Linked DNA regions of Drosophila melanogaster. The protein of the gene in region 1 interacts with the protein of each later gene in a pairwise test. Each region holds a gene or a part of one and is shown on either strand. Other genes may lie near its edges.

Region 1 (5,361 bases):
CTGGTTTGGATGTGTCTGCACTGCGAGAACTCAGCTCAAATGTGAGATGCATTTTCCGCGTGGTCTTCAGTTTTATATTCGAAACTGGCGGCAGCTGCCAGCGGAAAAAAAAACTGGACAATCTAATGGGCAGAGTGACAATTGCGTCTCATTTGGTGGCTGCCCGATCTCGATCTCGATCTTGCACCCCAGACCTCATCGCTGATGGCGGATTTCGTGTTTCTGGTGCGGATTTCATCATTGGTGCTGGCTTTTCTCAATGGAATAACTGCAGCCGCCGCTGCCGAGGCACACCACTCACCGAAGTCCATTTGAGTCCGTTCAAGAGCGCCGCTCCAAGATACCCAGCTAGTCAGCTACCAGCAACACCAGACTCGTTTTCCGCTGACTCGCTGGCCGATCTGGTTTCATTTTTTCGCCGTTTTTTGGCACATTCTCAGGTTCTCCAGCCAAAATTTGTCTGATGTAATAAGTGCCTCATATTGTGGCAGTTTCAGTTGCAGTTGCCACAAGAACAGTGACAGTGCTTTTTTAGCGATTGTAGGTACCCTTTCAAGAAAAATCTTTAATATCATCAAAGACCTAATGAAAATATGTATTTACTCTCAATTTTCTGAAAATGTATGAAACCAAGATTACAATTGGATATGTAAACACTCATTTGGCGAACATACTTCAATCAATATTTGAATATGTAATTGAAATGCCTGCTGTTAAGTTATGCCGATTATCACTCACACGCCATGTTGTCCAAACGCAAGCAAATTTCGCTTGGTTTGCGTGACGTGCGAGTAATCTTCATAGTAACATACATGTCCAATGTGCCCACCCAAAGTGCAGGGTATAAAAACAAGATCAATCGTTCGCAGCCACTCGTTTAATTAGAAAACGAAAATGGCAAGTTTCGACGGCTTGGTGGAGGGAATGGAATTGGGCGGGACGCAGGCGCAATTACGCACTGGCACACGCATTAACCCCTCGACGATCCGATTTCCACCTGACCAACTGGACCAGCGCCCACATTGCTGAGCCCGGTCACTTAGCCACCGTAATTGCCTCGATCGGGCCAAAAAGCATTTAGCCGGCATTTGGAAGCTCTAACCGCGGCGACCTTGCTCACAATTGGCAGCTAAGTGGCTGTGGTTAGTATTTCATCCACTTTTAATTAATTCTCATCTCAGAGCAGAGTCAAGCGATTGGGCAAGGAACTGCATAAATGGCAGTGGAGCATTCCATTCGCTTTGGCCAAATTGGACGACTGTATATCCATGCTGGTTTCCGGTGGCGACAATCTACGCCGACAACCGTTAGTCAGCTACCACAACCCGACGAGTAATACCACCATTTGGTGCCAACTTTTGGGGCTCTCTCCGCTTCTCCGGATCGCTCAGCGTCTCTCCGAGGTGAATCCGCAGCCAACGAGTCGCAAGGTCGTTGGTTGCATTTAGGAAAAGAGTCACGAACTCAAAACCAGCCACCAGTTACAGCACGAAATCGATGGGGAATCTTTAATCAACCATGGAGTTAGGCAAATTCCAAAAGACCAGAGATTCTTGTTGTTACTGAAGATATTTGTTAGGAAAGCATGTTAAATTTAAAATAAGATTTATCCTTTTCAGCAAAGTCGTTTAGGGGAGGAACTAAAAATCTCCTTATGGAAACATAAACCAAATGCATGGCCATTTATTAGAATAATATCAATATAATTGATGTATCAAATGTTGATAATCTTTCAATAGATTTACAATAGTAATATATGGGTATATAGTATATATATTAGTCTAATCGATATTACTGGGCCACATTGACCCAGTTTCACCTTGTTAAGTGAAACCGAACCCCTTGTGAAAACCCTTATTATGTATAAGTGGTAACTCATTAGCATAAGTAATTGATACCCAATAAGGTGTATAAGAAACTTTCCAATTTATTTGAGACAACCAATTCAAGTAGTACATCAAAATCAGGATCATTACACTCTAAAGATACTTTTTTATCCCAGAGATATATTAATATTAAGTTTTTGAGCTTGAACCCTTGTCAACTCGACGTCATTATGGTAACTTAATTATAAGTTTCGCGCTTTTGGTGTAAAGGAAAATTAAAAGCACTGTCATTGGATGGAACCTGCATGACAATTACCGAAAACTACTGCTCCGAAATATAATCAAATCGCATTCACTTTCGATCCGAACAAGGCAAAAACAGTGGCAAATAAAAATGAAAACTTGGTGTAGCCACCGCAAGACGACTGAAAATTGGAGTACGTGCTGCGAATTTGGATCAAAGCCCGAGACGCAGACGCAGCCAAATGCTGGGTAGGAAGAGGCGGCCCCAAAAAGCGGCGATGGTGATGATGCGGGGGGCAAGGAGCTCGGACAATGGGCTACCATACGCAATTGGTACGCAGTTCCCTCCACGGAGCACCGCATGCAAATTTCGCGAACGCATCTGGGTATAAAAGTCGTGGTTTTTTTGTCCAAGGTATGTCAGTTCATTTTCGATAACCGACGGTGACAATCGCACTAAACCCCCACCCAAGCCTTACAATGAATCCTCTGACGGTAAGTGTTGGTGATGGCTTCGGTGAACCCGTCAGGTCAGGAGACTAAACTGGACTCCATGCATTTTCCTCACAGGTTGTTGCAGTCCTTTCCTCGATGGCCCTCTCGGCTCAGGCTGGTCTGGTTGGCGCTCCTCTGGCCGCCGCTCCTCTGGGTGCTCCTCTGGCTTACTCCGCCCCTCTGGGACCTGCTCCATACTTCGCCCCGGCTGCGTACTCCGCCCCTCTGGGCTACGCGGCTCCTTTGGGATACAACGCCCCTCTGGTGGCGGGACCTGCTCCCCTGGTGTCCAAGACCTACGCTGCCGCTCCTTTCGCCGCTCCCTTCGCTGCTCCAGTTGCCCCAGTTGCTGCTCGCCTGGCTGCCCCAGTCGCCGCTCCTCTCGCTGCCCCAGTTGCTCCAGTAGCCGCTCCCCTGGCTGCTCCAGTTGCTGCTCCCCTGGCTGCTCCAGTTGCTGCTCCCATCGCCACCGAGATCGTGGATGCCCACCCACAGTACAAGTTCGCCTACGATGTCCAGGATACGCTAACCGGTGACTCCAAGACCCAGGAGGAGACTCGTGATGGTGATGTCGTCCGTGGATCCTACTCTCTGATCGAGCCCGATGGTTCCCGTCGTATTGTCAGCTACTACGCCGACTCCATCAACGGTTTCAACGCAGTGGTGCAGAAGGATGTGCCCGTGGCTGTTGCCCCAGTGGCTCCAGTTTTGGCCAAGACCGTGGCTGCTCCAGTGGCTCCAGTTGTGGCTGCTGCCCCCGCTCCAGTCTTCGCCAAGACCCTGGCCGCTCCCATCGTCGCCTAAGTAGAAGGAGGAGAAGTAGGAGTCGTAAAGGAAGTATTGACCGCAATTCGACAAAGGACTTTCATCTGTACATATTCGATTAATCATTGTCGAGCTATTGAATAACTTTCATCGCAAAAACCCAAAATTAAAGAAATTCTGAAAACAAAAGATTGTAGTTTATTGTTTAAAGGCATCCTGGATTACGAGAGTGATATCATATAGAGGCTTAAGAAAATTATTTAAGTATTTTAGCTTTAATATTTATAGGTAATATTTATATGTATCATTCTTTATATTTTAAGGATTACACTTAAAACTTGGTGTTCTTTTTAGGGAAGTGGATGAAGAGTTCTGGAAGCTTTCGCAACATGAGAACGTGGCCAGGATGCGTCTGAAATTGGAGCCTCAGTTATATCCAAATAAACACGAGAATGCCGCCAATCTGCGCGACAATGCGACCAGTGCCTACGACACCAAGTAAGCCCAGCCAGTCCTTAGTAGTGTCCTTCATAATCTGATTTTCAATATCCTTTATCTTAGGGAAATCTCTGAATTTGACTCCACCATCAAGAATGCCGTGGTGCGCGATTTCCTGGCGGATGACGAAAGTTCCCAGCTGGAGGAGGAACTACGTCAACTGATCGACACGCAAGCGCAACAGGATGTGGCGCTGGAGAAGCTAGTCATGTCACAGGACTGTGAGCTGATCACGCTGATGACCAAGGTGAAGGGACGCATTGAGGTTAACCAGAGCGTGTTCACCTTTGTGGACTTGAGCCCGCCAACAGAGGATGGTTCCAAATACGATTTCAGGTTCTCCACCAACAAGATACGTGAGGTTCATCTGCGAAAGTACAATCTGCGCAGGAGTGCTTTGGAAATCTTCCTGGTGGATCAGACTAGCTACTTCCTCAACTTTACGACGAAGGTGAGTTTTTTTTTTGTAAATAAAATGTGATCATTGCAAATGTTCTTATTTCTTTAAGACTCGAAATAAAGTTTTCACAAAAATCGTGGGTCTACCGCTTCCAAACATACTCTACGGCTCGGGAAGATCGCCGGCTGAGCTGCTTAGGGCCTCGGGACTCACACAGAGATGGATCAATCGTGAGATTTCCAACTTTGAATACTTGATGTACCTAAACACAATCGCAGGTAAGCAAATAACATCTGATTATTACATACATTTTTATCAAACTAACGTATTTTACATAACTAGGTCGATCCTACAATGATCTAAGCCAATACCCCGTCTTCCCCTGGATCCTTGCTGATTACACCAGTGACGTGCTGGATCTTACCGATCCAAAATCGTTCCGTGACCTATCCAAACCCATTGGATGCGTAAGTATTACTGAAAATAGAAAAAGGTGATCAGTTACATGACAAACGCATTTCTACCGCAGATAAATCCTAAAAACGAGGCCGAAGTGCGCGGCAAATATGATTCATTCGAGGACCCCTCTGGTGCCATACCAAAGTTTCACTACGGAACCCACTACTCCAACTCGGCCGGCGTGCTCCACTATTTGCTTCGCGTCGAACCGTTCACCTCGCTGCACATTGATCTGCAGAGCGGTCGTTTCGATGTGGCCGATCGACAATTCCACTCGATACCTCAGACGTGGAAGTTGCTAATGGACAATCCCAATGACGTGAAGGAGCTGATCCCCGAGTTCTTTTACTTCCCAGAATTCCTTAAGAACATGAATAAGTAATGCATGTGGTTTTTTACTTTTACTTAGTTAGCCTAATGTTATTTTATGTGCAGATTTGATTTGGGCCACTTACAAATAACCAAAGAAAAGGTGGACGATGTCATATTGCCTGCTTGGGCTACCACGCCGGAGGAGTTCATAGCCATACACCGACGGGCTTTGGAATCGGAGTATGTCAGTCAGCATCTGCACCACTGGATTGATCTGATCTTTGGGTATAAGCAAAAGGGACCCAAGGCAGCTGAGGCTCTAAACGTTTTCTATTATTGCTCCTATGAAGGCGCTGTGGATTT
Region 2 (5,470 bases), on another chromosome or scaffold:
GCTGCAAGGCACGTACTGCCCAATTCGGCCTGTTCCATGCTTGGGCTGCTCCTGCACTTTATTGCCAATTTTCGCCAGCAGCTTTTTTTCCAGCTAAATGCAATTGGTCAAGTGTGACCGCAGTCAGATCCCGAGATAAGCCGCTAGTAGGGGTATTCCTATGTCGAAGAGATGAAACTGGCTTCCGAATTTCCCGGTAATTTTTAATGTCGTTTTTATTATTATATTATTTTTTTTCTTGATTATTACGATTTGATACTAAAGGCGGTGGCACTAGCTGCTCATAGTTATACAATTGAGTCGTCTGGTAAAATGGGAACAATAACAAGTAGTTAATAATCGTTTAATTCTTATGTAGATAATAAAGTTGCCTATTTTGCTATTTTCCTATTTCAAACAAATATTGCATATTATGAATGAAATTTAAAAATAAGGCGCATTACGCATGTGCATGTGCATTAAAAAAGTTATTATACAAATAGAATAAACACATTAAATTAAATAAGATTCCTGTTGTCATTACTAGCAAGCAGTGTTGGAAAACACCGTGCTGCCCTCACTAATTTCTACACCCGTCTCGTGTATTTTTGTGCCTGATTTACTGACTGAAAATGCACCTGCTGCGGAGCCTGCGCCAGCTGAATGGCCTCCAAGGAGTGCGCCAAGCTATCCGGCAGGTGTCCTCGGCGCCCACCAAGCCCGCCGCCCTGCAGTACGAGCGCGATCCGCAGCCGCTTTTCACGGATGCCGAAACCCAGCGGCTGCTCCAGTCCATGACGCAACTGAACTTGGACAAGGTGTATCGGAAGCGCACGGTGCCGGACAACAGCAGCGAAACGAAGTTCATGAGCAACGAGCAGCTGGACAACGAGTTCCAGAACTTGGTGGTGCGGGCTCAGCAAATTCTGCAAATGCCACCCATTGTGCAGATCAAAAAAGATGTGGAGCGGGTGATAGCCAAGGATACGGCGCTGAAGGACTTCGCCAACTCCAAGTTCGTATTCACGGACATCACCTTCGGCCGACGGCAGTCGGAACGCAAGGTAATCGTCCGGGATATGGACGGAACCTTGGCCTACGCCACTCTTGATACCACGAAGCGCATGAACCAGTTGTATTTCCCGCTGGAGGGTCGCCAGTCATATACTCCACGAATGTTCGCGCTGGAGGAGCTGCTGGCCAAGTGCTTGGCGGAGCACAAGTACGAGTTCATCCTGGATCGACTCTTGGTGCAGTACGAGCCACATGAGCCGGAGTTCCACAACATTTCAGCGCGTGTGTTCGAGCATCTCAACGAGTCCAAGGAGTTCGATCTTCTGCGCTCCACCCGCCACTTTGGACCCATGGCCTTCTTCTACGCTTGGCACCGCTGCATCGACGACCTGCTGTATGACATGATCCGTCGGGATTATCTGCACAATGCCGTGGAGCTGATTGCTCTGAGCTACAAGCTACACAACATCCCAGTGGAGTATCAGGCAACGCTGACCGAACTGGGCAAACTGCATGCCACGCCGGCGGAAAGTGCCCTGGCGGAGCTAAGAAGCGTCTTCCGACGACATGACAATAAGCAGAACATTGAGCAGGAGATCCATACGGCCATTGGCAAGACGGAGCACGATTTCGCCGCCGATGAGATCAGCCTGAAGTTCATTGAGCAGTACATCGCCAGCGAACATGCGCTGAAGAAGGTGCAACTGGAGCTGGCGGTGCAGACGCTTAAGGAAGTTAACCGGGAGAAACTGATGCTGTTCCAGGGACTGAAAAAGGCTCACGGCGTCCAGGCTTCGTAGGATCTATTCGCTTTATTGTTATCGATTTCTATGTACTAATAAATACCAGCTAGGTCAAGATTTCTATACGCTGTTCATAGCTCCTTCTTGAGGACCCTGGACAGCCGTCTAAAATGGCCAAGGATGCACTGTCTCCGGTGCCGCAGGCATACCCGCTCGCTGCTGAAACGCTTCAAGCAAACTGAGCAACGTCTGGGATCACCTCTTCCATTGGGCAACCCGTTGTGTTCGCGAAATAGGACGACCACTTTCGCCTTGGCACAACTCTGTTCTTTTTTTCGGTGTACCAAAAGAGAGGTGGTGGTCTTGAAGTAACGTTTGCACTGAAGACATCTGTAGCACTTCCTGCCGCTATGGTTTCTCAGGTGCCTGAGCAACTGCATCTCTGAGTGGCTCATGGCGTTGCAGAGTAGATGTGGGCATTTAAAGAGCATCGATGACTTCCTGGGCGCTAGAGCGGGACAGCTCAGACTGTGTTGCTTCAATTGTTTCTGGTGGTCCAGACGCTGACCACAGCGAAAGCACAGAGCACCAGGTCCATAGTGCGCGGTCATGTGGCTCTGGTGCTCCAGCAAGGTTTTGGCCACATCGCCGCACACCGCGCACTCCATCATGCCGTTGGGAAATATGAATGTGTTCTCGCTCACGTAGGTGAGAAATTTGTCGGAATTGGAGGCCTCAGAACCGGTATCCTTTGGCCGTTCCTCTGGTAAATACCACTCCTCCGAATCGCGACGGCATTGAATGCCCGCATCCTTAGTGCCCGCATTCTCTGTTTGAATGGCGCGCTCTCTGCGCGGCACCATAGCCTCGTTCGCAAACATTCCAGTGACCTCGTTGAGTCTCTTCTGCTGTACGGATTTCTTGGGAGACTCTGTAGCGCCTCCATTGGTGATCGGGGCATGCAGTTCTTTCACTGGAATGCCATTCTCTATCGCGTACTTGCGTGTCACCCACTTGGTCTCCACGCACACGTATTCCGGCAGCTCGAAGACGGGCAAAGGGATAGACTTCATCTGAACAGGGCTGTGGCGTGGTGGTTTTCCGGCGGATATCGGTTGACCGGCCAACGCCACCTTTGCCGGTTGCGCCGGGTACATTTCGTTGGTTCGGGGTTCTCAAATGGCACTAAATCGATACGTATCCGAAAAATGAATTCACATTTTACTTGGAACTTATTTTATTTTTGTTATTAATTACGCTTGCTTTTTATAAAAAGACGCGAATTTTACTGGCGCAAAAAATTCAATGTTGCTATTGGTGCTGGCGGGCTAGCTTTTTTCCCGCCATATCCGACTTCTTTTGACTATTATGACAGTTGGAATATTAAAAAATTAAAATAAAATATAAATCTAACAGTTCTTTTTTCATGGCAATCAATACGAAGTGCTGAATAACTGCATGTTCTCTGATTATACTGTGTTTATAAACTAAAATTTCTACCAAATTTGTTTAGCAACAAGTTCTCTTAACAGTGCCATTTTAAATAATTAGGGGTATTCTTATGAGAAGTATGACATTTTCTAATGAATTCAAAATTGTATTAAGCAAACATAAATTTGTTATATATTTTATATTTCATTCAATGCCTATTATAATAGTTTAATTAAACTGATTGTAAATCTGGTGGAAAAATCAAATAAAAATTGTAGTTATTTTTCGTTTGTTTTGATGTATTAAATCAATCATTATTATATTGTACAATTATTCGGGCAGAAACTGCCCTAAGCACTACTTTTTACTCTTATCCTTGTCCTTGATGGTGTACTTGTCGTAGGACTTGGTGGGATCGTAGGGCTCCCATCGGCTGGCTGGGAAGATGTGCTTGTTGCGCTCGTACCAGGAGCGGAGGAGTACCTTTCCGGCATGGGACTCCTCCTTCTCCACGGAGGCGTCGCTTATCATGCGCACATCGTCGTGGACGTCGAACTGGAAGAGCGGGCCGGATTTGCCGCGTGCCTTGGTCACGATAAAGTCGTAGAAGGAATAGTGGTGCGGCAGGATCAGATCCTCCTTGACGTACATCAGCTGGTCGGCCATTACGGTCTTCAGTTCGATGAACTCCTTGCGCAGCAGCTCCAGGCACTTCTGCAGAAACTGGTAGATGGAGTTGCCCTTCTTCATCAGCACGTTCCGCCGATGGCCGGAGCCATCCCAGTAGCTGAACGTGATGGAGATGTCCTCGTCCTTCAGCTCCGCCTGCTGCATTACCCATTCTTGACGCAGCTGCTCGCGCAGTCTGTTCTCCTGCTCCTCGCGCTCGCGATCTGGCAGAAAGGAAGTGTCCACGTCAGGATTCTTGCATATCTTCTTCTTCTTTATGGGCAAAATGTCTTCCTTGATCTCCGTCCACTTGGGCTTGGGCTGATCCTCCTGCTTAATCTTCAGCTGTTTCTTATCGTGATCCTCGTCGTCCTCCTCCTCCTCCTCCTCGTCGTCGTCCAGGTTGAAGGACAGCGCCTGGATCTGCCGCTTCTGCTTGTTCTTCTCCGCCTGAATGGCCTCCAGGGCGCGCTGCTTCTCCCGATCCTTTTCGTCCTTCTTCTGGGCGAGCTTCTTCTCCCGTTCCCGCACTATATCCTCCTGCTTGGCCTTCATCTCGTCGAGGGTGACCAGACCAATGGTCGAGGACTTGAGCTGCTGCTCCACGGCATCGTAGTGGGTGGCAAACTTGTTCTCAATCTTGTCCAGCTTGAGCTCCTCCTCGATCTTCTTCTTGCGAAACTCGATCTCCTGCTGCTGGATCTCCCGCTTCTTCATCAGCTGGGCTGCACGGCCCGCCTCGCTGGCGGCACCTTTGTAGTGGGCCATCCTTAGTTGTTTCTGTATTTATTTATATTTTTTTTTATTTAATTCGTAAACGAAATTTGTAAACATCCAATTGGTGTGACCGTAGCAGAAACATTGAAAAATGCCATTCTTCGTATAAAAAATTTACAGCACAAAACACTACCTTACCAATTTGAAATAATAAAATATTTAATCTTGAAATTATTTAAAATTTACTAGCTGTCCATTCCCCTGATATAAGAGCAAAAAGAAGAGGATCACTATTTCTCTGCAACGATTTTGAAAAATAAAGATAAATCTTAGATTTTTAGCTGTTTTTTTTAATATCCTTTATATTTAGTTACAGTCGTAAGTTTTTCTTTAACTTGCTTCATGCTTTCGCTCAGTGTACTAAATCTACGTTGATCCATTGGAAGATTCCTCCTGTGCCTCGGATTTGTCCTCCTCCTTGCTGTCACCATCGGCATCTGTTCCATCATCGCCAGGTTGGCTTGGATCTGGATTGCTGGAGCTACTGCCGTTGCTCTCGGCCAAATCGTTCTGGTCGAAACCATTCGTGTATTCCGGCGTTGGAGCCGTGTCATTGGCGCTGGGCGGCGGGGTAATCTTCCGCAGCTGCTGACGGGCGGCATGGACGATCTTTTCCAGCTCGACGCACTCCGTCTCGATCTCGTAGTTCTTGGAGACCAGCAGCACCCAATGGGCTTCCAGGGAGCGCAGTCGCTCGCCGGCCTGCGTTTGCGCCTGCTTGCGCTGCCAGTTGACATCTTGAATGTCCTTCTTCAGCTGCTGCAGCTGGAGCTGCGCCTTCGCCTGCATGGCGGTGAAGACCTCCAGGTAGGACTTCCATGCCTCCGTGCCGTAGTCGAGCATTAGCTCCAGGTTGA
Region 3 (6,953 bases), on another chromosome or scaffold:
CACAACCGCTCCTCCTCCTCCTCCTCCTGCGGACGAAGTACGTGACACGCTGGCATGTCCTGCTGCCCGCTGGGCGACTACGGGAATGGGCGTGGCCGCGCCAGCGGTCGGAGTGGCTGGCTGCAGCAGCGGCGAATCCAAGCTCCCGTTTCCTCCGCCGCCACTGCCTCCGGTCGAGGAAGTGCCTCCCAAAATGCTGCTTGTGGCACGCGTCAGGAACCAACAGTCCATGGGCGTCGGTTTGCCCTTCATGATAACGGGTCCGCGGTACTCCAAGTGGAACGAATCATCCTGGTTGATCGCCATACAGAGGAGCCTGCAAAAAGGAAAGGAAAAAGGGGCAGATGCCATAAGTTTCAGGGCGGAAGGCACTGTGTAAACTCAACTGTTATTCTTCTTTGGGGTTTAGTATAGTGTAAACTGAAATTTCGTAAATAAAACTTTCTTAAGTAGAGTAGCGCAGTAAATAATTCTATCCAAAATTACAAAGTAATCACCGAGTTTTAATATCACTTACGAAGAGAAATAAAGACAGAACGTTATGTATAAGCTATATCTTTAAGATGCAAGCAAATTCAGTAAGCAAAGAATAGTAGTGCTTAACATTTGAGATGTGACTCCTTTGGCAGTCACATAAATTCGAGTTAGGGAGTTCCGTTGTGGACTTGGTCTGATGCCATAATGCACTCTGAATGATGTATATCTCGGGGGTCGTTTTTTTTTCTCAATCTGCACACCAATAAATTGCCATCGTAATTTCCACAGTGGGAGACCCCTTATTCAGCTATTAGATTGCATCGCCAGAAATTATGTAAATTCGGTTATTGTGCTCCATGTGCCCGCACAATCGAGTGCAGCATAAAACGGAAGCGAAATAAAAATTTCGCCAGGCTTGTGTGCATTTCCGCTTCCGCTTGGCTCGACCACAGTGCAACCACACATTGTTGCATTTATTCGGACTCATATATTTACGGCCAATACGCCGCTGATTGGATACGAATTTAATTCAATTAATTCGCTACCTTTGCGGCATCGGATAGCCTGCATATGGCCACAATTGCATTGCCCTTTTAATTAGCGCTCAGGTGAGCCTGTTCAGGTGAAAATATTGCCATGTTGTCCTGGGTAACCAGCACAAATATGCACCGTTTTAATGGACCTGAGTTAATTACACTGTGCCGAATGTCCTTCGACACTTATTTGCATATGCGATTAAGGCGAAGGACCCGAGGAATCCCTACCAGACATGATTATCCCAGTCATCATCTCTGGATCCCTTGGTGTGCGTTCTTAATTAATGTTTATGGCAGTGCTTAAATATTTACCCAGCGCTTAATTGTCAGCCCAAATATTAAACGTGCAAATACGGCGAATAATGGAATGAGTGGGCCTGAATAATGTATGGGAAAATTGATATGTCCCGCATAAACAAATATTAATTGGCAAAGGGTGATAGAAAAACATGTAAACAATGTGCACAATTGCTATTTAAAATATGAATTTATTTTGTAGCTGAGAAATTTACATGACAATTGGAGTCGTGTTTTAAAATACATTTGACGTGGCTAAAGCTCGAGAAAACACTCCTATTGTTTACAGATTTAAATCCGTGTATATGAATATTTGTTGCAATATTTATTTCAAAATGATCCCCTTGAAAATGTAATGGATTCATTGAAGGGGGATTAGTAAATCTCTAAAAAGATAGCTTAAAGCGGTTCGCTTTATGATAATATCGGTTTCACTCTGGAATGAAGTATCGAGTGACTTTGTATTAGTTTTCAGTTTTCCGTTGTAAAATCAAATTCATTAATGATTTAAACCGAAAAAAGCACTGAAACATTAAACAGCACACCATCAGTATTTATTTCGAAATAAATATATTTTTGTTGAATCAAGCATAATCCTTATAATGACAAACCAATTATTTTTCAGTTTAATATTGCAAAATCACAAAAACCTGCGTTTTTATGCGCCATTTGATTTTATGCTTATCGCCAAACATTACCCATTTAGCACAAAAATAATGTGAGAGCATACATATGTACTATATATTTTAAATTGAAAATTCCAATTTAGAATCTAATTTAGCTTTATGCTCATGAAACGCGTATTTAATACCTCCGCTACTCTCTGTACAAAGAGAGAGTGGAGAGAAAGCGGGAGAGTGAGCGCTTAGGTAAACAGCTGAGCGTTCTTAGAAATTGGACTTCGTTTGTTTAGTTTTCCAGCGGCAGCTGATGAGTGGGGTGGAAAATTGTGTGAGTGCGCTGCGTGCAGTGAATAAATGGTTCGGAAAAATGCCAGCAAATTTCAAAGTGCAATAGACTGTTTAGCAAAAACCAATCGAATTGAATCGAATCGAATCAGTTTCAATGGAGTCCTCGAGTTCCATTCGGTTTTTGAAGAGCTCATAGAAATATACTTGTCGGCTGGTAATCAAACACCTGTTTGCCAATTGCTTTGCTGGGAGCTTCACGGAAATAAAGAGGCCTAAAAAGTAATTGAACTGTATATCAGCTTTTGAATAAGCTTTACATACTATGTAATTATTTTCTTATATGATTGCAATGCTTAAAAATATTAAAATGAATATTCCGCATGCTCATTATGAGTTGTTTATGTTTATCAAAAGTTCTCCCAGCACATCATTGCCAGCTGCAAAAAATCGATAGCGCAAGAGAGTCACCCCCGCAAAAGAAATTCTCTCTTTTTTGTGTATTGCGACTCTTTGGCTTCAGCGGTGCGGGAGTTTTTTTGAAGCGGAATTTCAATTCTTTGGAGGGAATCATCAATTCAGCTCAATCGAAAATATTTGCCTACTTAAAGTGAATTAAATTTTGTTTGCAATATGCTTTCGCAGTTGCTACAGGCTTTCCAGCGGCTGGTAAGTCAATTAAAAAGCCAATTTGTGTGGGTTCGCTGCTGGTTGCCATTTCCACGGCATTTCTACGGTTTCCGCCGGGAAACTGAGTCACGGGCACGGCTGCGTCTGCGGGTGCGGGAACAACTGCGTCGGAATCCTGCCAATAGGGCCAGTCACCAGCGGAACCGGCGAACCCAGCGCCGCCATCTGGTCATGGACTACATCTTCGAGTGCTTCTTCGACGACACCTTCGAGCAGATCTCCCGCAACGGACTGCAGGACCGCCAGTCGCGGCGAGATGTCCTCGACCACCTGAGCTCCATCATCAAGGGCTGCAGCGGCGGCCAGAACTCGCAGACGGATGAGGTGGCCGCCATCGCGGTGACGGCGGCCATGAGGTACCACCGAATGGCCAAGGAGCAGAACGGCCAGGTGAGCTTTATGTACAAATCGAGTGTTGCCAATGTGGCATTTCTGTGTGCCAAACTTCAATAGTTAATATGAATAAATATTTACTTAAAAGAGTCCATACAAACTAGCACTGGGCTTTAGCAAAGCTCAACTTAATTAATAATGATTTGACAATTAGTTTCCGGTACTTAAAAAAACGAAATAAATAATTAGAACAAAAGCCAAGTCAGTCTATTTCGTTGTCGTATTAAATAAATGTTAATGTTTAAACCAAGCCTTATGAATGGAAACCAATGATTAATTAGCCAAATAACATTGCTTTGCTTTTGAGTCGAATAAAAGTGGAATTTAATAAAGCTTTCTAGAAAACGGTTAGAAAAGTACTAAAACTATGCATAAATATGTATATCCTGCTGCTGCGATCCAATTGACCTTTTAGAGTGTAAATAAATATGGAAAGTTGTTTCGGGCTTAATTTCCTTTGGCAGAGTCTGCTAAACTTAATTTTCTTCCATTTTAAATGCCATCTCTTCATATGGCAATTATTTATAATTTAAAAAGTAGCACTTCAGTTGGGATTCAGCCCCTTCACCACACCCTCCATTCCATGCGTATTCCCCAGGTCTGCCTCATGGGCAAGTATCACAACATCCTGTACATCGGACTGCGCACCTGCTGGGATTGGGGAGTCCGGGACTCGGAGGTGGTCGTCAAGCTGCTGGGTAAGTGGAGTCGGGCCAACTAAATAATTTAATTTAAATGCATATGTATGCGTATGTGTGCGTAAGCGTATGCGAGTGAGTGTGCGTGTGTGTGTGGCAAGACTTTCCTGTTTGCTTTTTGGGCGTGGCTGTGTGCTTTGCATACTTTAATAAATATCATCCCATCGCATCGGATTATTACGCCCATAAGCAGGCAGTTTTCACTTTAATCACGTGTTTCTGCTAATTGCGTTAAGAAAGTGTTGCTGATGTCGTTCTGTTGCTCTGTTGTTGCTGCATCGTAAAACTTGTAAAGTGCCTCAAAGTGTTGCAAGTTATTTGGGGCGTACGCATGTTGGCTGCCTCTAATTAAAAGGCTGCGTAAACTTTTGCGAGCAGGAAAAGTGCCTGGAATTAATGGCATGCCTCTGTCAGGGAATCTGGACTCGTGTGCAATAAAACTTGCTCCTTGTTTGTCCTGTCCTCACTCACCAAGTTGCTTTGTTGCTGACTCCAGCCTTTTGGACCCGCTGGCCTTGGTTTGGCAAACATTGTGGCCGTTTCCGTTTTCCGCTGACTTCATTTCTGGGCTGTGCCAAAAAGCCAACGAAACCGAAAGCCAAAAAACCAAAGCAGCAACAAGTGCAGCCACGTAATTAGCTTTTTTATGGCTGCGCTGCTGCGATTTGATGACATTATTTAACCGCTTTCTCCACTACCGACAATTTGCCTGCATCGCGGGAAAATCGGTCACAATGTGTATACAAATTTGGTTTATGGCATTACCCACTTCGAAATGTTATTAAACGTGGCTTGTTTTATATAAATTAACTTTTAACTATTTTCCTGTTCCCATGACTAATTTATCCCCTTTTTGTGCAATTCAGTGGCCATTTACGAGTGCGAGAAGACATATGAGCGCATTTTCCTGGGCGCCCTGTTTGGACCACATGCTCCGCACTTCATCGCCGGCTGGCGCAGTGACTTTCAGGATCAGGTGAGACTGGCAGAAAGACCCTATTCCTGGCCCCGTGGAATAGACACCCATGTATGTCCTTTGTTCGCAGCACGAGAATGTCCGGGCTATGGTTTACTTTCTGAAGCACGCCACACGCGAACAGCTCACATTGCCCGTCTGGATTCCGCGCTTCGAGCAGGAGCGACAGCTCAGGTGAGTCCTCAGCCCGGTCCCCATCCTGTCCTGACATTCTCCCCTTTTCCCCACTCCCCCCTCTTCACTCTTTCATGTGTCGCGCTCTTTTGCTGCCTCGAGCGATTTTCACACTAGCCGGGTTAATTGGATAGTTGCCTGGGTGCCATGCCGAGGTCTTCATTCCCCCAAAGAGTTTTTCATACTAGCTGTATGCTTGGACATTTATGGAGAGCTCTTACTTTCATAACAGTCACAGTAAGCCTTTCTATACACTTAGCTTATGGCTATCAGAGCAAATTATAAGTTGCTTACAAAGCAAATCGCCAAGAATTAAAGATTAAACTTTAAAATTCGGATTATGTGCCGAGATACCGATCAATCTTAATGGCTTGCCAGTTTTCCACACAATAATAATGTTTTCGGTAACAATAAGATACTATAAATACCCGCTGGGAATGCAAGGAAATGGTGGACGAACGTGAAGGGTAACCAGAGAAATGAAAGGATTTTAATTAAATTAATTCATCAGCCATTGTTGTGGCACCTACACAGAGTGTGTGTGTGTGTGTGACTGCCATAATTGAGTGAAAGATGGCGACAATTTACAACCACAGACACGACTGCGAATACACTTTTACAGAGAATGGCTCTCAATCACTGGCGGTGGCTTTCTCTCACTTCTGCTGGTGTCATGTATAATTAAGATTTTCATTTGCAGCTTGCTTTTGGGGGGGGGTTTCCCATTTTCCGCCTTCTTTTTCCGACCCTCCCACATGCACATGAGGTCCGTGTGTGAGTGTCGCTGATGCGATAAGCTGAAAACCAACAGGCAGCGATGTAAACCTTTTGTTATTTCGGCTTTGTTCGCCAGCACTTCGGAGGATTAAAGTCAAAAATGCGTGTAATAAGCGCACAAAGGCATGCTCAACCCCACCACGCCCACTAATCCACACAGATACAGCCCGCCCCCTTGGATATACCATACCCATACCATTGCCGAGTTGACTGTTTGCGCTTCTTAAACAAACAGAAGGCAAAAAACATACTGACTGGCAAGCATTAAGACGACATTTATGATGCCCTCTCGCAAAACAGCAGCCAAAGTCATGAATAAGCGTCAATAGCTGCAAATGTATGTGGGTGTACGATTGGGAGTGTGTGTGTGGAGTGTGCGACCCAAGAGCTGAGAAAAACAAGCAATGTGACAATAAACGTTTCGGCCAAATGCCGTTGAAGTTGCATAAATCAGTGCTGGAGCAGCATATTGCCAAAGTTTTCGCAGAACAGTGAACACTCGTGAAAAGGAATTGTGTTGAAGCTAAAAGCTCACAATGAGATTTACACAATTTACTTACGATGTTAGGGTTCTAATGCAACAGTAACGGATTTGCAAAGAAAACACCTGAAAAGGGTGTTTAACAAAACACTAAAACCTAATTGTTTATTGAGAAAAAAACATGATTTAATTCAGTAATTGCATGGCTTAAATGGCTTAAAATAGCAAGTTACATTATTTCACTACTGCATTTGCATAACCTGCCGACTTAATGGCACTCGGAATAATTTATACCCTCCAAGGCACTGGGAACTTCACAAGCTGAGAACTCATACTCTTTTCATCGGATTTAATCGAAGTGCACACTGTATAGCAAAGACATTAACATGAAACGCCGGCTAATACTCGCTAAGCAGACCATTAGACAGAAATTTGATTTGTCAGCCCACTCAGCAGCTGATTAAAGTGTTAATGTCTGACTTGGGGGCAAATCACTTCCGACTGGAGGAGAATATGCCAGCCACGAGGTGCTATATACGGCTATTG
Region 4 (6,844 bases), 7.7 Mb from region 1:
TCTTGGAATTAACTGAAATGGGATCGCATTTTTGGCACTTTCAACAAAAACATTTTTCAGCTGATAATGACTAATAGTATAGATAACATTCTATTGGTCAAGGAAGTAGACAATTGGTTATTAATAATGTACGATGATAAACATCTTTTCACTTTTGTTTTCGTTATAATTAATTTCGGTGAGATATGACAACAATTAAGTTCCCCGAAAGCATTCCAATCTCTATATTAAACAGATATTGCAAGTAGGCACCCAATGTTTTACATTCTTATAAAGAACGGGGTTTATTGTTCGTTACGTGTTACCTACTTTTAGGCATCATTAGATAATGGTAATCAGAAGATAATGATAATAATAAATATTGAAGAAATATTTTAAGGCAAATTGGTCTAGCTTACCCGCTAAAGAAGGCAGGTAAAAGATTTGCAACTAGATAGATCTAAAAGTGGTCGATTGGATGTCTTAGAAATATGATACTTTTCATTCACTAAAGTATGAAAGATTTTATGATAGAACGTCAACCCAAAACAAAAATGGTCTTGAACCTGGGCACACGTTCATATGTAGGAATGCCACCTTTGATCAGACGTTACATATGTTTTATATGAACTCTTATCAATTCTGAGTAAGAAAATAAAGATAGTACTCATATTCGAGTAACTCTATCATATGAACAGTACAATCAGATTCTAGCATTTAACATACTAGCAAATCATGCAAATTACTTATAAATGCTACTCTATAAAAACGCAGTTCAATGAATGGAAAGTTTCAGTTCGATAAAACACTCGATAGCATCACACAAAATGAAGCTATTTGGACTGCTCTGCGTAATGTTAGTACTTCAAGAAAGTACTCTGGCTGTTGTACAAGTATGTTGGAAAACATTCTTAAAAGTATGAAAAATTAGAATGTTCACTTTCACAGAACGGATTTGCGTTCAAGACGTCCTTATGCGAGGGTAAAAATGGTGGACTCTTGCCCATGTTTGGATCCTGTAAAGGATATTACGTGTGTGCTGATGGAAACGCTGTGACCGGAACTTGTGAAAAGAATACGTTGTTTAATCCTTTAACGTTGCACTGCGATGATCCTGACAATGTGGATTGCATTTTCGATGGCAAGGATAATATTGTTGACGACACGTCAAGTTCTGAAAGCGACGAAGACGATGATGAGGAAATGGCCAAAACTGATCCTCCCGTTACTGTCAAAGCGACGAAAAAGCCGCGTCCTACAACCCTTGACAAAATGTGTGCTGGCAAGAAGGATGGAGTGATGCTTACAAAGAACGGGTCCTGCCAGGAATATTATGTCTGCAAAGCAAAAAAGCCCCATCTGCGCTCTTGTCCTGACAAACAACATTTTAGTCCAACTCGTCGCATTTGCATGAAGGCCTCAGAAGCCAAGTGTTCGGGTGGAACCCGAGAAAATAAAGAATCAGATGGTCCTGCCACCACGGGAGGAGTGTGTTCAGATGAAAAGGAAAACTCTCTTGTTGCTCATCGCAGCGATTGTGGCAAGTTTATGCTCTGCAGCAACATGATGTTTTTGGTAATGGACTGCCCAACTGGCCTGCATTTCAATATAGCCACATCACGATGCGATTATCCCAAAATTGCAAAATGCCAGACGAAGCTAAATGAAAGCAAATCCAAGTCAAAGAAACCTGTGCGCAAGTCAAAAAAACGTCGATTCTAACTATATTTTTTTAAGACCCCAATAAAGTGCTTGAATTATAATAATTTTTAATAGTCCAAAGCCTAAACAGAGAAAATATAGCCACATCATATAGTACTAAAAATAAGGGGAATATTTTCTATTCTCTGCTTAGAATAAGTAGTTTTTATCTATAGAAAAACGAAAATCTTTTCGTTTAATACTCTGCTTTAAATATTGTTTATTGAAACCACTTAGCACTTAACATTATCGGGCCAATCGCAGGATTTGACCTGCAAATTGAACAAAAGTCCAGAGGAACAAGTGAAGTTCACCTCACACTCGCACTGGCAGACTACATAATTAGAACTACAATCTCCGCTGGCATCGGCGAACATGGTACCATCCCGCTGGCCAACGCATCGTCCGTGGCTCTCGCAATAAGTTCCCGAGGGTCCGGCAATCGGACCACTTGGCGGTGCAGATCCATCGTCGCATTGAACATTTTCGGGATAATCGCACTGCTCTATTATTGAATTGTATTGCAGGTTGTTGGAGCACCGCTGCTCATATTTGTTACCATTTACGCACTGGTAGAAGGCGGAGCAATTTTTCTCCACGGGCCAGATGGAATTGTTGGGCACATCGCAGCAGTCGGGATCGCAGGTTTTGGGAATGCACACATTCTCTGTGTCGACCTCGCATTCCTTCAGTGTGGTATTGAAGAACTGCGTAGCGGAGCACTTCCTGGCCACAAAGACTCCGTTTATGCACTGTAGGTATCCGGCGCAGTCCGCAGGATTCACCTTAACCTCATTCTCAGTGCATGTCGTTCCATTTCCGTTGCACTGACCATTATCCACATCGCAGACCTCTGACTGGCTGTTCCAGTAGTAACCACTGTCGCAGGACTTGGTCACATACTTGCCACCGGAACAGATCTCATACATGGTACAGTCGGCCAAGGGTTTTGTAGATCCCTCTTTACAATTGACACATATTCCCTCGTCGTCTTGTACACAAGTCTCCAGTGTGGCATTGAAGTAAGCTCCGTCGGCGCACTGCTTGCTCACCCAGTTACCGTTCGAGCAAGCCAAGTAGCCTGCGCAATTGGTGGGGTCCACCTTAAGTTCGCCATCAGTGCATGTCGTTCCATTTCCATTGCACTGACCATTATCCACATCGCAGACCTCTGATTGGCTGTTCCAGTAGTAACCACTGTCGCAGGACTTGGTCACATACTTGCCACCGGAACAGATCTCATACATGGTACAGTCGGCCAAGGGTTTTGTAGATCCCTCTTTACAATTGACACATATTCCCTCGTCGTCTTGTACACAAGTCTCCAGTGTGGCATTGAAGTAAGCTCCGTCGGCGCACTGCTTGCTCACCCAGTTACCGTTCGAGCAAGCCAAGTAGCCTGCGCAATTGGTGGGGTCCACCTTAAGTTCGCCATCAGTGCATGTCGTTCCATTTCCATTGCACTGACCATTATCCACATCGCAGACCTCTGATTGGCTGTTCCAGTAGTAACCACTGTCGCAGGACTTGGTCACATACTTGCCACCGGAACAGATCTCATACATGGTACAGTCGGCCAAGGGTTTTGTAGATCCCTCTTTACAATTGACACATATTCCCTCGTCGTCTTGTACACAAGTCTCCAGAGTGACATTGAAGTAAGCTCCGTCGGCGCACTGCTTGCTCACCCAGTTACCGTTCGAGCAAGCCAAGTAGCCTGCGCAATTGGTGGGGTCCACCTTAAGTTCGCCATCAGTGCATGTCGTTCCATTTCCATTGCACTGACCATTATCCACATCGCAGACCTCTGATTGGCTGTTCCAGTAGTAACCACTGTCGCAGGACTTGGTCACATACTTGCCACCGGAACAGATCTCATACATGGTACAGTCGGCCAAGGGTTTTGTAGATCCCTCTTTACAATTGACGCATATTCCCTCGTCGTCTTGTACACAAGTCTCCAGTATGGCATTGAAGTAAGCTCCGTCAGCGCACTGCTTGCTCACCCAGTTACCGTTCGAGCAAGCCAAGTAGCCTGCGCAATTGGTGGGGTCCACCTTAAGTTCGCCATCAGTGCATGTCGTTCCATTTCCGTTGCACACGCCGCAGGTATCTTCAACGCACCGATTTAGGGTCGAATTGAAGTAATCGCCATCTGGACAGGTCAGGATCACTATGATTCCGTCCACGCACTCTAAATAGCCGGCACAGTCATCTGGATTCGGTGTAATTTCTCCATCCACACAGGTTGGAGGTCTGCATTGACCATCATCCACGACACAGATATTTAACTCCGAATTCCAATAGGATCCGCTTGCACACGACTTGGATACAAATTCGCCGTGACAGCAGATCAGATACTTGGTACAATCATCCGCATCCACTTTTGTGTCGCCCTCCGAGCAGCACACAGCACTTGACGATCCCATAAAGAGGGAAATTATTAGGCACAGGGCCACTCCTGGGTAAAAACCGCGGATCAACAATCATCCTCCCAATTATCATTGCTCCGTCCTTACCATAGTGTTTAGTTCTGGATTGGGCCATCTTTGCACTCTGCGTATCGAATGCTCACTGATGAATCTTCGCTCGAAGATATCGCCTTTTATATTTACCGGCAATTAAAATAATTGAATGTCTCTTCCTGCATCAGAGCATGTGGCGGTGATAATGTCGAAACATCCGTGATACTATCAGCATATATATACAGTAGTAATACAAGCAATCGATATTGTCACTATTTATAAAACTCAGCGGTTCATTGTGAATCCGCGAAATCAAAGAGTCCAAAAGAAATTATTCTTCAGTTGCTATAAGATGCTCATATATGAGAAGTCTTAACGATCGATTGAAATTGAAATTTCAATGCGCCATAGTGCATATATGTATAAAGAAGAACAACTACTGATAGGTACTTACCTATGTGAACTAACTATTTTGAAGCTTTATATTGTGATAGCAGTGGTTGGACCAGCTACAAATTCCTACAGGAAACATACCCCTTCTTTATTAAAAAAAAAAAAATGGGTATTTATGTTCGATAAGCTCTTGCCAATCTCATTGAGTGCCGACACCTGTTGGCATATTCCCGCCACAAAACTGATTAAAATGATTTACTGATCCAATGTTTCATTAATAAATGGGCAGATTAGGCTACATCCTAGTAGTAGTAGTTGCTTTGATAATCACTTTCTTTATTTGCCAATCGGTCATTTAAAGAGTGCAGGTCACTTGGTTCTTATAATTGCAGGTCTGCAAGCTTTCGTCCCAATACAAGCCATCGGCGCACTCCATCTCGACCTCGCATTCACACTGGCAGACGACGTAATTGCTACAATTTGTGGTGGACTTTAAGTAGGTACCCTCACGTTGTCCCATGCAACGGCCATTACTCTCGCAGGCGATTCCCGAAGGTCCTGCATTGGGACCAGAGGGTGGGGTATACTCCCACGGGCAAACATAGTCCTGGGGGTATTCACATTCTTCGGTATTTGGGTTGTAGACCAAGTTGTTCGGACAATATTGCTCGACGGCGCAGTTGAAGTTACACTTGTAGAACATGTTGCACTTGCCTTCCACCGGAAAGAGTTCTCCCTCCGGCTGGTTTTGGCACACGGTGCTGGTGGTATTGCACTCCACCTTGGGCACATAGTTTTCAGGATAGTCGCACTGGTCTAAGGTGGCGTTGTAGACGAGGTCACCGTAACATTGAACCGCCGAGGAACCAATTGCGGATTTAGTGTCCTTAATCCAATCACACACTTGGGCCGTCTCGTTGAACTTCAGACCCTCGGAACAGGGCATCGCAATGGGGCACTGGCATTGGCAGACGAAGAATCCATTCGAATTGGGGTCCGCAATCATGTAGCCATCCCTCTTACCAGCGCATTCGCCCTGACTGGAGCAGGTGGTGCCCGATGGTCCCTCGATCTCAGTGGAGCCATCGGCGGTGGGGGTACAGTCCACATTCCACCAGTAATCGCAATCGTCTATCGCCGTGTTGAAGTACAGACCGGAGGGACACTGGAATTCCTCGGCACAACCATTGTTGCATTGGATGAACCTCACGCAGATCCCGGGCATATCTATATAGGTGCCAGTTTTCTGATTAACGCAATCCGTGCGGGAACTTTTGCAATACGAGGGCACCACACTTGGACTCGAAGGCGTGGTGTTGGAGGAGTTGTTGGGGTCATCGAAATCCGTTGTAGCATCCGTCGGCTCCGTGGAATCGGAGGGTTCCGTGGCTGAAGTGGTGGTATCCGGATCGCAGTCCTCGGTGACCGCCGTGGTAGTTTCATCGATATCGTCAATGGGATCCTGGCACTCCTCAGCACAGCAATCGCAGGTACACTGATCATCCACTTCGGCAAAGGCCGAGAGTCCCAAGCAATTAGCTCGCCACTGGAAGTCGCACTCCCTCAGCTCCCGATTGAAATGGAGTCCACGAGGGCAGCTACCGATAATGGAAACCTCTCCCTTCAGACAAACGACAAATCGGGAACAGTGGGTGGCCAACGGAAGTCTAGTGCCATCTTCCTGATTTTGGCACACATTCGTCAACTGGGCTACCACAGTTTGAAGACCTCCGATAAGCAGCAGAACGGTCCAGAGACCTAGGATACGGACCCGAAATAAGTTACTAGCCTTGGGTAGCCAACTCTTCACCAGCTTACCCCCAAAATCGATTGGTCGCATTCTTCCGAGATCACCTTTAAAGTAGTCCGAATTTCGCGAACGACTAAGTGGCAAACCAGGCCGTGTAGCACCATTTAACTGCCATGAGTGCGCCAAATCAGTAGTCAATCTTCTGATAATACCAATCACCATACGAATCTCTCGATTAATTCGGCAATGATTTGTTTTGCGCCAGAACGCTATCGCAGGTGTAATTAGGTGTGTGTGTCTGAAGCTCGGCACTGGGATTCGGGCCGGGCTGCCTTATCAAGACCTGAACTTCAGTGCCTCCAACCTGGAGAGAAACCAAATATTTTGGCATAGGTCTACGGATTCTCGACTGCTGAATGGGTACCGCCCCGGCGTCTGCCTAATTTACGTTCTGTCGCACACTCCTAGATAACCACATAACGTATACCTAATCACTCGATTCACTTTATTGACACTTGAAATTAAATGACGTTTATTGTCGCTCAAAATGAAGTGC

What was found.
Region 2: the proteins of Cpr64Ad (region 1) and Boh1 interact in a two-hybrid assay, tested with the Drosophila melanogaster proteins (one large-scale study listed by BioGRID).
Region 3: the proteins of Cpr64Ad (region 1) and stops interact in a two-hybrid assay, tested with the Drosophila melanogaster proteins (one large-scale study listed by BioGRID).
Region 4: the proteins of Cpr64Ad (region 1) and CG17826 interact in a two-hybrid assay, tested with the Drosophila melanogaster proteins (one large-scale study listed by BioGRID).

The regions. Positions count from the first base shown.
Region 1 is NT_037436.4:4,212,901-4,218,261, forward strand, and holds Cpr64Ad (cuticular protein 64Ad), read left to right. Parts: upstream 1-2,478; 5' UTR 2,479-2,549; coding exon 2,550-2,564; intron 2,565-2,639; coding exon 2,640-3,368; 3' UTR 3,369-3,514; downstream 3,515-5,361. Other genes in the region: CG43367 (uncharacterized protein), read left to right, coding at 3,684-3,827, 3,891-4,278, 4,337-4,505, 4,570-4,694, 4,757-5,064, 5,122-5,361.
Region 2 is NT_033777.3:27,916,391-27,921,860, forward strand, and holds Boh1 (buddy of Hmr 1), read right to left. Parts: upstream 3,071-5,470; 5' UTR 2,894-3,070; coding exon 1,868-2,893; 3' UTR 1,794-1,867; downstream 1-1,793. Other genes in the region: CG5003 (uncharacterized protein), read right to left, coding at 1-38; mRpS22 (mitochondrial ribosomal protein S22), read left to right, coding at 612-1,793; CG12259 (uncharacterized protein), read right to left, coding at 3,525-4,604; BCAS2, read right to left, coding at 4,980-5,470.
Region 3 is NT_033777.3:31,164,372-31,171,324, reverse strand, and holds the start of stops (slow termination of phototransduction), read left to right. Parts: upstream 1-2,720; 5' UTR 2,721-2,851; coding exon 2,852-3,298; intron 3,299-3,899; coding exon 3,900-3,999; intron 4,000-4,865; coding exon 4,866-4,975; intron 4,976-5,045; coding exon 5,046-5,149; intron 5,150-6,953. Other genes in the region: Gycbeta100B (guanylyl cyclase beta-subunit at 100B), read right to left, coding at 1-316.
Region 4 is NT_037436.4:11,947,256-11,954,099, reverse strand, and holds CG17826 (uncharacterized protein), read right to left. Parts: upstream 4,262-6,844; 5' UTR 4,228-4,261; coding exon 4,200-4,227; intron 4,142-4,199; coding exon 1,914-4,141; 3' UTR 1,875-1,913; downstream 1-1,874. Other genes in the region: obst-G (obstructor-G), read left to right, coding at 807-872, 928-1,701; CG7252 (uncharacterized protein), read right to left, coding at 4,894-6,296, 6,357-6,378.